Astyanax mexicanus: one gene and its partner. The protein of the gene in region 1 purifies or fractionates together with the protein of each later gene. This does not show direct contact. Links are inferred from orthologs where the notes say so. Each region holds a gene or a part of one and is shown in the gene's direction. Other genes may lie near its edges.

Region 1 (7,269 bases):
GGTTTGTGCTATAACATGTAATATTGGCACTGCTGTGCTGAGCTACGACCGCGACATAGCAGTTCCAATATTACACATTATAGCACCAACATCAAGTGTATTATCGCTTAAATGAGGAAATTTCACACCTGGTATACAGATGCCTGGTATGCTATGCATCTGAAATAAAGAGATTTTAAGCGAATTCAAGTCTATGCCAGTTATTTAATCATGGATGTACTGAATAGGGAATTCTACAATTTCAAATACATTCATAGCTAAAAGCAAGTAATGAACTTTATTTTAGGTTTATTCACAATCACAGAACATGTTTTTATCACTTGACATCACTAATGCTTATAAAAAAAAAAGTTTTAATTCTCACTGTCATGCAAAATCCTTGAAATATGGAATCCAATATTAAATAAGACCAAGGCAAATTCCTTAAAAAAACAACAACCCAAAACCATAATCCCCCCTCCACCAAACTTTACACCTGTCACAATGCAGTCAGTTCAGTCAGAAGTACCCTTCACCTGGCAAATGCCAAACTTTTAGACTCTCAGATAGGCCGACTTATCGTTTAATGAATTGACATGACTTCAATCATTTTAATAATCGTGATATTGCCCATTGTGTTGGCACTTACAAAATGCACTTACATATACTGTGACTGTGGGTGTGGCCACCGTGACCCCGGAGTGCAGAAGCACAGAGAGTCACAAAAACAAGTAGGGAATGAACTCAAAACTTATGGTTTTCCCAATACTATTAGGAAAAATGGCCTCCATCCACACCCAAAACAAGCATAAAGAAACATAACAACGGCCCAGTGAGGCTCTAGTCGCTTCACTTTAGTGTTTCTTAGGTTCGTGTTGCCTTTAATTCTTCTCACCGTCACCAGGCAGGGTCTTTATGCTGGTTCAACGCATGCCAGCTGGGACAGACCGTGGCTGCACTTGGCAAAATTAGGTGCGGTTCCAAACTTAGGTGTGTGAAAAGGAATGGAAAGTTTATTGTCTTTAAAAGAGTTCATTCCTTTGTTATGATACTATTTTATCATTTTATTAGTGCCAAATTAGTGGTCTAAAAATGCCAACAATATGGTTTATCGCAATAATTTCTGGGAAAAAAATATCGTTCGCAAAAAATTGCTATCGTGACAGGCCTACTCTCAGATTGACAGATTTACAGAGCTCCTGATGGCGACCCATTCTTTCACTAATGTTTGTAGAAGCAGTCTGAATACTTAGCGGGTTACTTTTATACACATGTGGCTATGGAAGTGATCAAAACACCTGAACTCAATGAATAAGCCGGGTAATTGAATATGTTTGGCAATATAGTGTATGATACAATTCTTGCATTTTCTTTTATTTTATTTTCAAATCATTAAACTGCAAAATAAACTGTAAATTGGCTTGAAGGCAAGGAGTTTTTTTTTTTTCCCTTTAGTTTACCGCAAACACTGCACTTTGGCCCAGCAAGACAATGCGCTGTACTCAAACAGACACACAGGCGAACACTGCCAAAAACAGCAGCATGTGAATGACACTGATGTGCTCAGACATCTGTACACGGCTTTATATACATTTCAAAATTCACTATATGTCCAAATATACAGTGGTGTGAAAAAGTTTGGACACCCCTAATAATTTTCATGAGTTTCCTTTATAAATCATTGGTTGTTCGGATCAGCAATTTCAGTTAAATATATCATATAGCAGGTGAACACAGTGATATTTGAGAAGTTAAATTAAGTTTATAGGATTTACAGAAAGTGTACAATAATTCTTTAAACTAAATTAGGCAGATTCACAAATTTGGGCACCCCAACAGAAAAATGACATCAATATTTAGTAGATTCTCCTTTTGCAGAAATAACAGCCTCTAAACGCTTCCTATAGCTTCCAATGAGAGTCTGGTTGAAGCTTCTGGTTGAAGGTATTTTGGATCATTCTTCTTTACAAATCATCCCCAGTTCAGTCAGGTTTGATTCAGGTTTCTGATCATGAACAGCTGCTTTACATCACACCACAGATTATATTTCAATAATATTCAGGTCTGGGGACTGAGATGATCTTTCCAGAATGTTGTACTTGTTCCTCTGTATGAATGATTTAGTGCTTTAGTAGATTGTGAGCAGTGTTTAGTGTTTAGGGTCGTTGTCTTGTTAAAGTATCCAGCCCCAGCTCAACTTCAACAACTTTCTCACTGATTCTTAAACATTGTTCTCAAGAATCTGCTGATATTGACTGGAAACCATGAGACCCTCAACTTTAAAAAGATTCCCAGTACCTGCACTAATCACACAGCCCCACAGCATGATGGAACCACCACCACATTTTACTGTGGGGAGCAGTAAAGTGTTTGTTTTGGAATGCTGTTTTCTTTTTCCGTCATGCATAAATAAGCGTCCTCCAAATAACTCAATTTTAGCTTTAGCGTACCTCAAGCGACTCTGTTTGTGGCGCGTGCTCAGAAAAGCCTTCTTCTGCATTTCTCTCCCATACAGCCTCTCCTTGTGTAAAAGTGCGCTGAATAGTAAATAGTTGAACGATGCACGGTGACTCCATCTGCAACAAGATGATGTTTTAGGTGTGTGGAGCTGGTCTGACTGTTCTCACCATCCTTCTCCTCTGATTATCTGAGATTTTTTTTGTTTTGAGCTTTTTGTATCCTTCCTCTAAACCATGATGTTGAACAATCTTTATTTTCAGGTCTTTTGAGAGTTGTGTTTTGAGGCTCCCATGTTGCAGCTCCTCAGAGAAGATGCAAAGAGGAGAAAAACTTGCAATTGGCTCCTTAATCCTTTCTCATAATTCTCAGGATTCACCTGTGTTTGTAGGTCAAGGGTCAAAGAGCTTACCAAACAAATTGTGTATTCCAATAATTAGTGCTATTAGTTATTTAACATTTATGCACCTGCTTTTTTGTGTTTAAATAATTATAGCACACTTTCTGTGGATCCTATAAACTTCATTTAACTTCTCAAATATCACTGTGTTCATCTGTTATATGATATACAGTATTTAACTGAAATTGCTGATCTGAAGAACCAATGATGTATAAAGAAAAATCATGAAAATGATAAAGGGTGGCCAAACCTTTTTAACATAAGGACACCCCTCCTAATAAATATATTCAGCTCAGATGTGCAGATTGACACACAGCTTGTTTAGACCCTGCACAGAAGTTCTGCCAAAAAAATAGGACTCTCTGAAGCAGATAAACGTGAACCTCTATCTGCACGTCCTTTTAAATAGCAGTTGCTATAAATAAACATGTCTTTGTCTGAGCAGTTTAAATGCACGTTAGCCCTCCCAAACCGTTTTTAAAAAGAGCTCTCACCCAATCAGGGACCCCCTCTCGCTCAAGTGTATCGAGATATGTCACAGATTCTTCTATACGTCCTTCCTCCTCCATGCACTTTCGGCACTCTCACTGACTTTTTGCATGACTCAATCAATGAGTGACTTTCGTCTTTCGGAATGACGAGCAAGCTGGACAGGTGAGTAAAAACAAAAACACATAAAGCTGAGAAGAGAAAAAATATATAGAGAGAAGAAATCCTGCGAGACATACTATTGAAGCACTCTAGTATCATTAAGAATTAATCTATATTTATACTTATAGAGAGAATAGAAATGAAAAATGTCATGAGGTGTCTATCATGATAATCATGGTAATGCAACGTCATTTTCAGACTCTCTCTACTTTCACTAGACGGGGAATGAAACTGAGAAACTGTTGGTTTGTGCTTTAGTGTGCTTTAATTAGCTCGGCACGGTGCACTATTCAACTTTTCGGCACACACTCTAAAATCTGCACATCTCTGTACTGTATCTTTGCATCTGAACTGAAGAAAAACATAAAGATTTAAAATTACAGTATATATATATATATATATATATATATATATATATATATATAGCCTTAATCTCCTAGGAAGTCTAGAAAAGATACAAAGCAAAGATACTCAAATGAGTAATATTAAGGCAGTCTCCGCACGCATGAGTGCACCGGTGGCTGTCGTAAAATTAAAACCGCTTGCTCACTATTCTCCGAAACCTGAAACTAAATGCAGCGCATGGTTTCAATATTTATTTGACTTCTTTTCTTTGTTGTTCTGATGCCATTCTGACTGAAGTAATGAAGTGATGTAGAACTTACCTGATCCTTCTGCTAAAAAAGTCTCAGAAGAACTCCCACCCTTGTCTTGCTTTGCATGGGCAATGCTACAATGCTAATAACAGCAGCACTTAGCATTAATTCACACTAACGATGTTCCTCACCGGATTTTTTGGGTGGGTGGGTTTGTTGTACTGCAGCATTCTGCTCACCCAGAAGAAGTTTATCTATCACTACAAGAACGTGCGCTGGGCTCGTGGGAGGCATGAGACTTACCTCTGCTTCGTGGTGAAGAGGCGAATCGGACCAAACTCGCTGTCCTTCGACTTCGGGCACCTGCGCAACCGCTCCGGCTGCCACGTGGAGGTGAGTGATGGACGGACGGACCGCACACTGCAGGAGAAGGAAATGCGGAAGTGACGTCAGGGAGTGTTAGATGCTCCACATGCATTAAATTAGCCAGGATTATGAATGTCCTGATCAGGTTATCTTAACCGAGTTTCTTAAAGGAAGACTTTTGTTGTAGTAAAACATGATAAAAAAGTACTTAGCTTTGTTGAATAACACACCTCCACTCTCCCACACAGCTTTCTGAAATACAGTCATTTAGTGCTTTTTGCCCAGCACTCTGTACAACGGGTGATAAATAGCTTTTTCCACCGTTCTCCAGCTCAAAGTAGCTCCACATCTCCTTGCTAGAATCCGGAGAGCCCTGACATTTAAAACGAGGCATTAATAACTTAAAAAATGCACAAGAAGATTAATATAGGTGTATTAAACACCTTCTCCAGTGCAAATAAATGCACTGGGCACTGGCTGCTACACCAGGAGGCAGGCTACGCGGAGTCTATGTATATATGTCTATGTGGAATCTATATATGTCTATGCTCATGATCAGAACAATGATGGCTCCACCCTGTGATAAGCTAGCGTTATGGGATGTAAACAGTGTTTTTTTAATGCTTTAGTGCTTCTTGTGCACTTTTAAACTTATTAATGCCTCGGTTCAAATGTTAGAGCTCTCCAGATTCTACCAAAAAGGTGAGGAGCTATTTTAAGCCAGGATAACGGTGTAAAAAGTGATTTATCAGGGAAAAATATGGCACGATATGCACCCTTTGTACAGAGTGCTGGGCAAAAAGTACAAAATGACTCAAAAAGCTGTAGGAAAGCGAATGTGTGCTGTTCAACAAAGGTAAGTTTTATCATGTTTTACTACACCCAAAGTCCATTTTACACCGGATTTCTTCTTTAATGCTGAGTAAAATTCTGATCTGAGCTTTGTGTTTGTATATATAATACAGCCAAATAGACTGTCGGAAGGATGTAAGATAGTAATGAGCATCGTGACGCACCTTGTGCGTTGTAAACTGAATTGGGATTAAAAAAGCAGAGTCCGGATTCATTCAAATATGCCAGGATCAGCACTGATTCCGAGTCATTGCATCAGATTGAGACATCCCTAGACAAGACACCAAAAACTGGTGTCTGAGGTTTTCTCTGTTGGCATCGCAGCTGTGAAGCTAACGTATAAAGGTAACAAGTAATAGGAGTCTAGAGCTTCCTAAACCAGAGACTCACCTCAAAACCAAGTAGTTTGGAAATGCCTGTTATGTGGTTTTTGACACTGTATGACTCACAGTTACAATTATATAACCATGCAGAGAACTGTGTGAGATAGCAAAAAAAAGTGGCAAAACAATAAAGCCTGACTTATACAGTGGTGTGAAAAAAGTGTTTGCCACCTTCTTGATTTCTTTTTCTTCTTTTTTTCTTCTAAAATGTTTCAGATCATCAAACAAATTTAAATATTATTCAAAGACAAACCCAAGTAAACCCAAAATGCATTTTGTAAATAAAGGTTTTTTATCATTAAGGGAGAAAAAAAATCCAAACCTACACAGCTCTGTGTGAAAAAGTGTTTGCCCCCCAGTTAAACCATAACTTTACTTTGGTTTATCACAGTTGAAATTCTCTAATCACAATCAAGCCTGATTACTGCCACACCTGTTCTCAATAAAGAAATCACTTAAATAGAAAATGTAGACCAAAAGATACTCAAAATCTAGACATCAGGCCGATATCCAAAGAAATTCAGAAACAAATGAGAAAGAAAGTAATTGAGATCTATCAGTCTTTTTGTGACTTTATAGCGAACCACAGTGAGAGCCATTATCCACAAATGGCAAGTGGTAAACCTTTCCCAGGAGTGGCAGGCCAACTAAAATTACCCCAAGAGCACAGCTACGACTCATTCAAGAGTTCACAAAAGACCCCACAACAACATCCACATAACTTCAGGCCTCACTTGTCTCAGTTAAAGTCAGTGTGTGTACAAAGTGTCTTTGGCCTAGTCAAAGTTCTGACCCGAATCCTACTGTGATGCTGCGGCATGACCTTAAAAAGGCTGTTCATGCTCAAAAAACACTCCAATGTGGTAGAATTACAACAATTCTGTAAAGAAGAGCGGGCCAAAATTCCTCAACAGCGATGTGAAAGACTCATTAAAAGTTACCACAAACGCTTGATTGCAGTTGTTTCTGCTAAGAGTGGCCCGACCAGCTATTAAGTTTAGAGGGCAAACCCTTTTTCACACAGGGTGTCACGTCCTCGCCCTGTTTCTCGCTGTCTTTGTGCCTGTGTGTTATTCCCAAGTGACCCCTGCTCCTCTGTGTCTCCTGTCTCAGTAGTTTTCCACCACGTGTCTCATTTGTAGCTCCGCCCCTTCCCCAGGTGTTTCCACTTCTAGTGTGTTTCATGTTAGTATAAATAGCCCTCCTCTGTCACTTGTTCTTCGTTGGTCTTTGCACCTTCACCTGTCTCTCTGTGTCTCTCTGTGTCTCAAAGCTTCTCTCAGTGTTTCCTAGTCTCTTGTTTCTCGTTTTTTTTTCTTGTTTTCTCGTTTATAGTTTATTTCCTTGTTTATTTCTAGTTTATTCCCTTGTATATATATTTCCCTAGCCCTGTTCGTTATTTATTATTAATATTCCTAGTTGGTTTAGTTTATGTTCTTTAGTTTCTCTCGGTTTTTGGTTATTAGTTTATCTGTTTTCAGTTATTTGGTTTATTCCCCAGTTCCTTGTATATATCTCCCTGTTTTATGTTTACGTGTTTATTTGTTTCTCGTTTCTTTGTTTATTTATATATATTTATTAAATT
Region 2 (7,612 bases), on another chromosome or scaffold:
TTTTGAATTTCCTCAGATTTCGGCAGAATATGTGACTTTTTGAAATCTTTTAGCTGCTTCATGTTGTCAGACAGGTTCTATTTAAGTAATTTCTTAATTCTACAGGTCTGGCAGTAATTTAGTCTGGATGTGGCATCACAGTTAATCACAGTTAATGATCACAGTTAATTCCCTTAATAAATGAAATTATCATTTAAAAACTGAATTTTGTATTTACGGTAGTTAGGTTATATTTGTCTGAAGTTTGTTTGATAATCTGAAAAATGTAAGTATGACAAAATAGCAAAAAAAAAAAGAAATCTGTAAAGTGCTCCCCCCTCTTTTCTATGAAAAAGATACTACTTTTGGGAAGTGTACCTCCTGGTGAAAGTTCATTGACTGCGATGATGACATCCCTCTATGATGCTCTCAGTCACCTCTAGTAGTGATATGAGGAGAACTAACATCTTAGCGATATGTGCATGTGTTTCCTGCCATTCCATCTTTCATATTTCAGCAGGACAATGTTCTTAACTCTCCTAACTCTCTCCAATGGACTCCTTTTCCCAGAATGCACCGTACTCTGATCACACACACAGTCACAATCACATGACCACTCTCCCCAGATGCACATCACCTGTTTTCTAATTGTTTGCACCTATCTTTAGCACTATACATAGCCCCTTGTCTCTTTTGTGTGTCAAAGAGTATTATTCTGGTTTTGTCCAACATTACAAAGCATTTCTCCTACCTGTTGTTTCAGTTTTCCATGTATGACCTTGTTTTTCCGTGTATCTACCTAAACTGTCTAACTACACTTTGGTATGTCCCTATTTTTGTATGTTCTCCTCACGTTGCCAACTCTGCCTGTATTTGTATAATTTTTATACTTTTTTCCCATTTTCTCCCCATTTTAATTGGACCACTACCCAACCCACTCATTGCATTGCTGAGTAGCATTACAGCGCACTCAGAGGAAAGCACAGCGGTTCTGATACATGAGCTTACAGACACCTTGTGCTGATCGACATCACCCTTTGGAATGATGAGGGGAGAGAGAGCCATCTACTGATCCAGAGAGAGCAAAGCCAGTTGTGCTCCCTCCGACACCGTTGGGAAGCTGCATGAACAGGATTCGAATCTGCGATCTCCTGATCATAGTGGCAGCGCTTAGCCCGCTGAACCACTTGGAGCCCCCAACTCTGCCTGTATTTGATCACTCTTTTGGATTTTTAATGCTGAAATATATACATAAGTTTGATCAGGCAGATTTGCATTTATACAGCTTTGTTTATGTTGCCATTGTTTTATGTACCAACCCTGGAGTCACATTCATCAAGATTTGCATGACCTCCCGTGAGCTCTTAACGGCTGTAGTGGAGCTGTTGCGTCCTCCCTACAACAGCAGGGTCATTACAGCGCCGTTAACAACCCTCCTACTGTTACTCAGGAAACCCACACCGATGGAGACACTCCGTTATGGACAATTAGCTTCACTTCTCACAAAGAATGACCTTCATTACGCTGCTGAGTGTGCCATTCATGAGCTTTTAGAGACGGACAGCGTTGTGTTCTCACTGTCCACTTTATTACAAACACAAACCTTGCTGGTCATACCTTGCCTGGTTTATTTTATTGTCATTGACCACAAGTTACCATGGTGTGACAATAGAAGCATGTAGCCAACAAAAAACAGCTGGTCCAGGAACTGCCCAAGTGCTTGATACTTTTACAGAGTGCAGCCAAAATACTAACTGCCCACTACTTATATGATGTTATGATGGAATCCAGCTTATTCCTGCATGCCTACCTTTCAGAGTTTGTTTCTTCTGCGTTTGTGTTAGAATATTAAATGGTTTCTGGTCATACTGTATTTAAAGTGAATTAAAAAGTAGCTAGCTATGCTAACCTCAAATTTCAACAGCTATTTTATTGATGATTCCCAGGACTTTCAGAAAACATTCTGTTGATGAGACAAAACAGAACCCTTTGGAAGACGTGTGTCCTGTAACATCTTGTGTAAAAATAACACATAATTTCAGAAAAAGAACATCACACTGAACATAAAACATGGTGGTGGTAGTGCAATGATCCTGGCTGCTTTGTGGCACAATCAAGTTAATAGGTTTAGGGGGCAAATATTTTCATTTAGGGTCAGGTTAGTTTGGATAGATTTTTTCCTTAAAAAAATAAAAACATCTTTTACACACTTTTCATATCTTCCTCAGAGTCACCAACCCTGAGTTCAGAATCCAAGATGGCTGCCACGCACATTAACAGTAGTAAAAGCAGTAGTATTATAAAGTATATAAACATTTATATCTGTTTGTGTCTCATTAAATCATTTGTAAACATAGCACTGTCCAACATCTACATGTGGGCATGTTTCCATGGTGATTAAATGTGCACAATATTGTGTAATGTGCTGTTGGATGGCAATCTTAGGGTGTACTCACACTAAGCATGGTTGATTTGTGCTGGAGCACGGTTCTGCCCCCTCCCCACTCCCCCACTGGCCTGCACTCAAACTGTGTTTAAACAATCCGTGCCCGAGCACGCTTACGTCATCTCTCACTGCTTAGTGGGCTTGCCGGTGATGTGAAAATTGTGCACCCCTGCCATGAAAAGCACCCTCTCTCGGGAGCATGTACACACTGCACTGTCTTCTTGATTAAAGTGGAGATAATACACTTCAACTTATTTAGAAATACACACCAAAAATCACAGTTATCTCAGTCATGCTTACATACAAAGCGACAAAGCGCCCGAGAGGGGGCGCTTTTCCAGGCGGGGGTGCTGAATTTGGGACAACAGAGCCATGTTTGTTTATAGGAACGTCACATCACTGACATCATATTGGTCCATGCTTGGGCACGGGTAGTGCTTACACTGCATGCGTACTGTGAAGTAGTAAAACGAGCCGTGCTTTGAGAGGTAACCGTGCCCAGGCATTGCATGGATTGTTTAGTGCGAGTACATCTTTAAATCCACGACGTGACACAACAAGAGGTAATCTTCTTCTTGACTCAAAACACCAGCCTGCTCTGAATCCTCAATCTGACTCTCTAACACGCATGCAGATGTGCTACAATCCTCTCTGTAGGTCCTTCAAGGATGCGCCTGCATCCATGAACCCCCCCCCCCCCTCACTGTGCATCGTACATACTCCTCTCATCATCTCTCAATCTGAATACCAGCATTAACTCAGCCACTGAAAACACACTCAAATATGTGTCATTCATATTTGAACACTTCCTTAAATAGAGTTTTTTTTATGGCAACCAACTGTGTTATATACTGGCATAACAAAGAAATGTGTTTCTTTATCAGAACCAACTGTGTTTAATTCTTTTGACTATTTATTCTATTTATAAGACTTCAGACTACATTTCCAGTCATACATGCATCCACTCAAATTGACAAGGTGAACAGTTTAAGTGAAAGTAGAGTATGTTGAATTGTTAATGATTACTTTGTTCTGTTTTAAAGATAGAGTCTTATTTCTAAAATAATTTTGGGGCTTCTGGACCAGAGTCTGCACAAAGATTCATGTCTTGTCATCTATTGTGTATATTTGGTCTGGTGAGTTCTGGTTTCACACCACAGTTTAGTGAACAGTGAATAAAATAACTTTTGTGTCGTTATCTGCAGGCGTCATCTCCATACCTCATATTAACTTGTTTGAAGACTTGTTTTTTGATTCGCTTTGTTAGGTGTTGTGCTGAATTTGGACCAAACAAGGTAGATCCAAAAGCACCCTTAATTTATTTTGACATTTTACCACAATAGGGTGGACATAATGAAGACAATGAAAAATTTTATGAAATTAATATTATTTACAAAATAAATAAATGCCCATAAAAATGAATAAATATATAAATAAATAAATAAATGCATGCATACATAATTGTATACATAAATAAATTATTTTATAAATACATTTTGTCATTAAAAAAGTACACACTAAAAATGATATCATTAATATTTCATATCAATAATTTTTCATATTTCTATGCATAAACCTTTATTTGAGGCTGTTTCTGCATTTATTTATTTAGGCATTTATTTATTTCCACATTTCTTTATGTATTCATTGATTAATTCCCACATTTCTTTATGTTTTTTATTTATTTATTTATTTTCACATTTCTTCTTTTATTATTTCTGCACTTGTATGTTAATTAGGTAGGCGGTCCTATCCTCGCTCTAAAGCAGGATTGGTCAACTGGTCATACAGACAGAAGCAACCGGCTTCTAACTATTCTAACGTTAGAGTAGAATATATGGAGAAATGTGTAAATAAATTAAAAATAAATAAATGTTAAAATAAATAAATAAATGTTGAAATAAATGTTTTAATAAATAAATAAATGTTAAAAAATAAATAAAGGAATAAATAAATAAATGTTAAAATAAATAAAGGAATAAATAAATAGATGCAGAAAAATATAAATAATTAAATGTAGAAATGCAGCAATCAATAAATAGTGTGTGTGTGTGTGTGTTTTCTGTTTTCTCTCCGGGGCTGTAGGGGGCGGTATGTTCGGGAAGCCGCTCCGGATCAGCGACACTGAGCGAGAACACAGAAGTTTTGCGGTAAACGGGCAGTGTGGGGATATTTACCCTTAAAACAGGATTTCTATTGGAGTAGAGGAGGCGTGTGTGCAGTATGGATGTTGGAGAGCTGCTGAATTACCAGGTATTTACGGCTTTAACTCCTTTAGTTTTGTGTTAAATGATAAAATAGCTGTGGAGTGAGTGAGTTAGCATCACCCGGCAACAACAACATCAGCAGCAGCTCGAGCATGTTAGTTAGCTTAGCTAACTAGCTAACAGACCGGTGCAGCTCCTGATTACTGCTGTTACTGTGCTTTAAACCCCTCCTGGCACTGTTTTTACAAGAGTCCCTTGCTTAGAAAAATGCTATAATATTAATAAGCTGTATGTGTTTATCTAATAGCGTTCATACAACCCTTTAGTTTGTCAATTTAGCTTCTCTTAGGAGCTCTTATTAACTTACTAATACAGAGAGAGCTACAGTCGGTTTACACACACACACACACACACACACACACACACACACACACACACACACACACACACACACAGCTTAAATAGGTTATGTTACCAAACTACAGTGGCAAGAAAAAGTATCTGAACCCTTGTGTTGACCTCAAAGAAGCTAACTTACCTAGTCAGAGTCAAGTGCTAGCATACCTGGCGTCTTGCTTGTTTGGAGGTGTGTAACTTACTGAAGCTAAGTTGACTGGGGAAAAAAAAACTCTGCACAAAAAGATACGCGTATCAAGGATCTGAAATCAAAAGTTGTTGATTTACCAAAAGCTGGAAAGGATTAGGAAGAGAATTCAGAGGCTGAAGAAATTCTCAGATCTACAATAAGGCAAACAATTTACAAATGCAGACTGTTTGGGACTGTGACTACTAAAATACCAGCTATTGATTCCAAAGATTCGCTTGGTTTTTCTGCTATCACTTTGAGTGTTGAATGAGTGTGTCCAAGATCATAGTTTGTTTGTGTGTTATTATTTTAGGCACATTATATTTGTCTACCTTTGACTTGGATGAAGACCAGATCGCATTTTATGACAAATTTATGCAGAAATCCAAGACATTTCAAACGGTTCCAATACTTTGTCTTGCAACTGTGTAAAGAGCAGTCATACAGGTGCATCTTAAAAAAATTGAGATAATTGAAAAGTTACTTTATTTCAGTAATTCAGTTCAGAATGTGAAACTCTATATTATATTATATAGATGTATTACACACAGACTGATACATTATAAGCGTTAGAATATTATATATATATATAAGACCAATAGGTACTTTTGGCACTGTGGGCAGTGTGCCAAGTCCTGCTGGAAAATGAAATCCTCATCTCCATAAAAGTTGTCAGCAACTGGAAAACTCTGCACTGACTTTAGACTTGATAAAACACCGTGGATCAACACCAGCATACATGTCTATCCAAACCATCACTGATTATAGAAACTTCACACTAGACCTCAAGCACTTTGGACTGTGTGTCTCTCCACTTTTCCTCCAGCCGCTGGTCCAATGATTTCTAAATAAAATGCAAAATTTAGTGATGGTCCGTGATGGTTTTCATGATTCACTCTTGCTATTTTAAAGATTTATTGAGAAGGTTTTCGAGCTGCCTTCATGCTCACCTTTGTTGTTTAGTGGCTTGATGGTGGACTCATAAGTTTTTACATTAGCCAGTGTGCAAAAAGGCCTTTAGTTGCTTAAGATGTTCTTTTGGGTTTCTTTGTGATTGCACAGACTATTGCATGCCTGGGTGTTTGCTGGTGGATCACGTCTGGGGATCTGTCTCTCTGTGGAGTGGTGGTGTCCTCTCAGTTTAGAGATGAATTTAGTATCTTTACTAGCCTGATGAGCATCAACAACCTCAGGGCTGCACACTATATTGTTTGAGTATCATCTTTGCAGTGTGCACAAGCTAAATAGTTATATTGCAGGACCTGCAATGTAGGGACACTCTGATTTTTGCAATGCATGAAACAGGGACTTAATCACAAAACCGAATGTTTAATGGATTTCAAATATAAAGAGAAAAAAGGAGGAAATAATAATAATAATAAAAAAAGAAGAAATCCGGAACTGAAAAAATAAGCAAGGTTACTTAAGGCAAATTTAATCATGCCACACCTTTCTTAATCCAAAAGTAAATTCAGCACTGTTTTAAAGTTTAATTGCATTTTTTCAGATTGTATTTGATTACTCCAAGTGCCTTTTATTTTAAATACATGAAATGCTTTTATGTGTTATATGCTGATTCAATGACATTTGTAGAAATCTGGTGATCTTGTATTTAATATTGCAGTATAGATATATTGCAGTAGTGTGATAAATATATATTTTTTCCCAATATCATGCAGCCCTAAACAACCTTTTTCGTGTGCTCCTTAGAAATCTTTTGGTGTTGTGAAGCTCAAACTTTGATAGATTCACGTTTTTTTTTTTTTTTTTTACCAAAAACTGGCTCCTACCACTCACACTTGATTAATCATACCATTGATTGGAAACTCCTGACTCTAATTTTGAATGATCTGTTTTTTCTTAAGGATTACACACTATTGACACTCAGAGATGTTTAATATTGAATTGAATTTTCTTAATTGGAAGCGTTCTGTTTTGTCTCATATCTTTGATTTGGTTCTTCTCATGTACTTAGTAAATTTGTGTCTGATCTTATGATGCTTTAGGTCAAGTTTATGCAGAAATCTCTAAGTTTGAACTTCAAGCACCACTGTGAAAGGCTAATATTTTTGTTTAAAAAGCTTATGCCATAACAAATGCTAATTATGTTTTACAAATATTGTGACCAGAATCTTGATAAAATGATCATTATTACCAGTTATTCTATTAACAGTTATTCCTTGTCCTATATAACTTCATTCACCTTGTGTTCTCCTCATTTACAGCCTGACCGAGGAGCAAAGCGACCCAAGGAAGAAGATGGCGGCGATGAACCTCGGGCCAAACAGAAAACATCCAGCCGAGAAGCTCTGAGGTACACAGCAATGGGGGAACCTGAGGATGAAGATTTGGAAGACAAAGAGAAGATCCTGGAGAAGCTTATGGACCAGGATG

The links. Proteins that work in one complex are often made in the same cells at the same time.
Region 2: the proteins of aicda (region 1) and ctnnbl1 purify together in Homo sapiens (affinity purification with western blotting; 3 studies listed by BioGRID, with this or other methods). This does not show direct contact. The link is inferred for Astyanax mexicanus from reciprocal best matches to the Homo sapiens genes AICDA and CTNNBL1.

Annotation. Positions count from the first base shown.
Region 1 is NC_064413.1:6,983,293-6,990,561, forward strand, and holds the start of aicda (single-stranded DNA cytosine deaminase), read left to right. Parts: upstream 1-4,238; 5' UTR 4,239-4,263; coding exon 4,264-4,476; intron 4,477-7,269. UniProt on the Homo sapiens protein: Single-stranded DNA-specific cytidine deaminase. Involved in somatic hypermutation (SHM), gene conversion, and class-switch recombination (CSR) in B-lymphocytes by deaminating C to U during transcription of Ig-variable (V) and Ig-switch (S) region DNA.
Region 2 is NC_064420.1:14,715,176-14,722,787, reverse strand, and holds the start of ctnnbl1 (beta-catenin-like protein 1), read left to right. Parts: upstream 1-4,517; 5' UTR 4,518-4,648; coding exon 4,649-4,678; intron 4,679-7,443; coding exon 7,444-7,612. UniProt on the Homo sapiens protein: Component of the PRP19-CDC5L complex that forms an integral part of the spliceosome and is required for activating pre-mRNA splicing.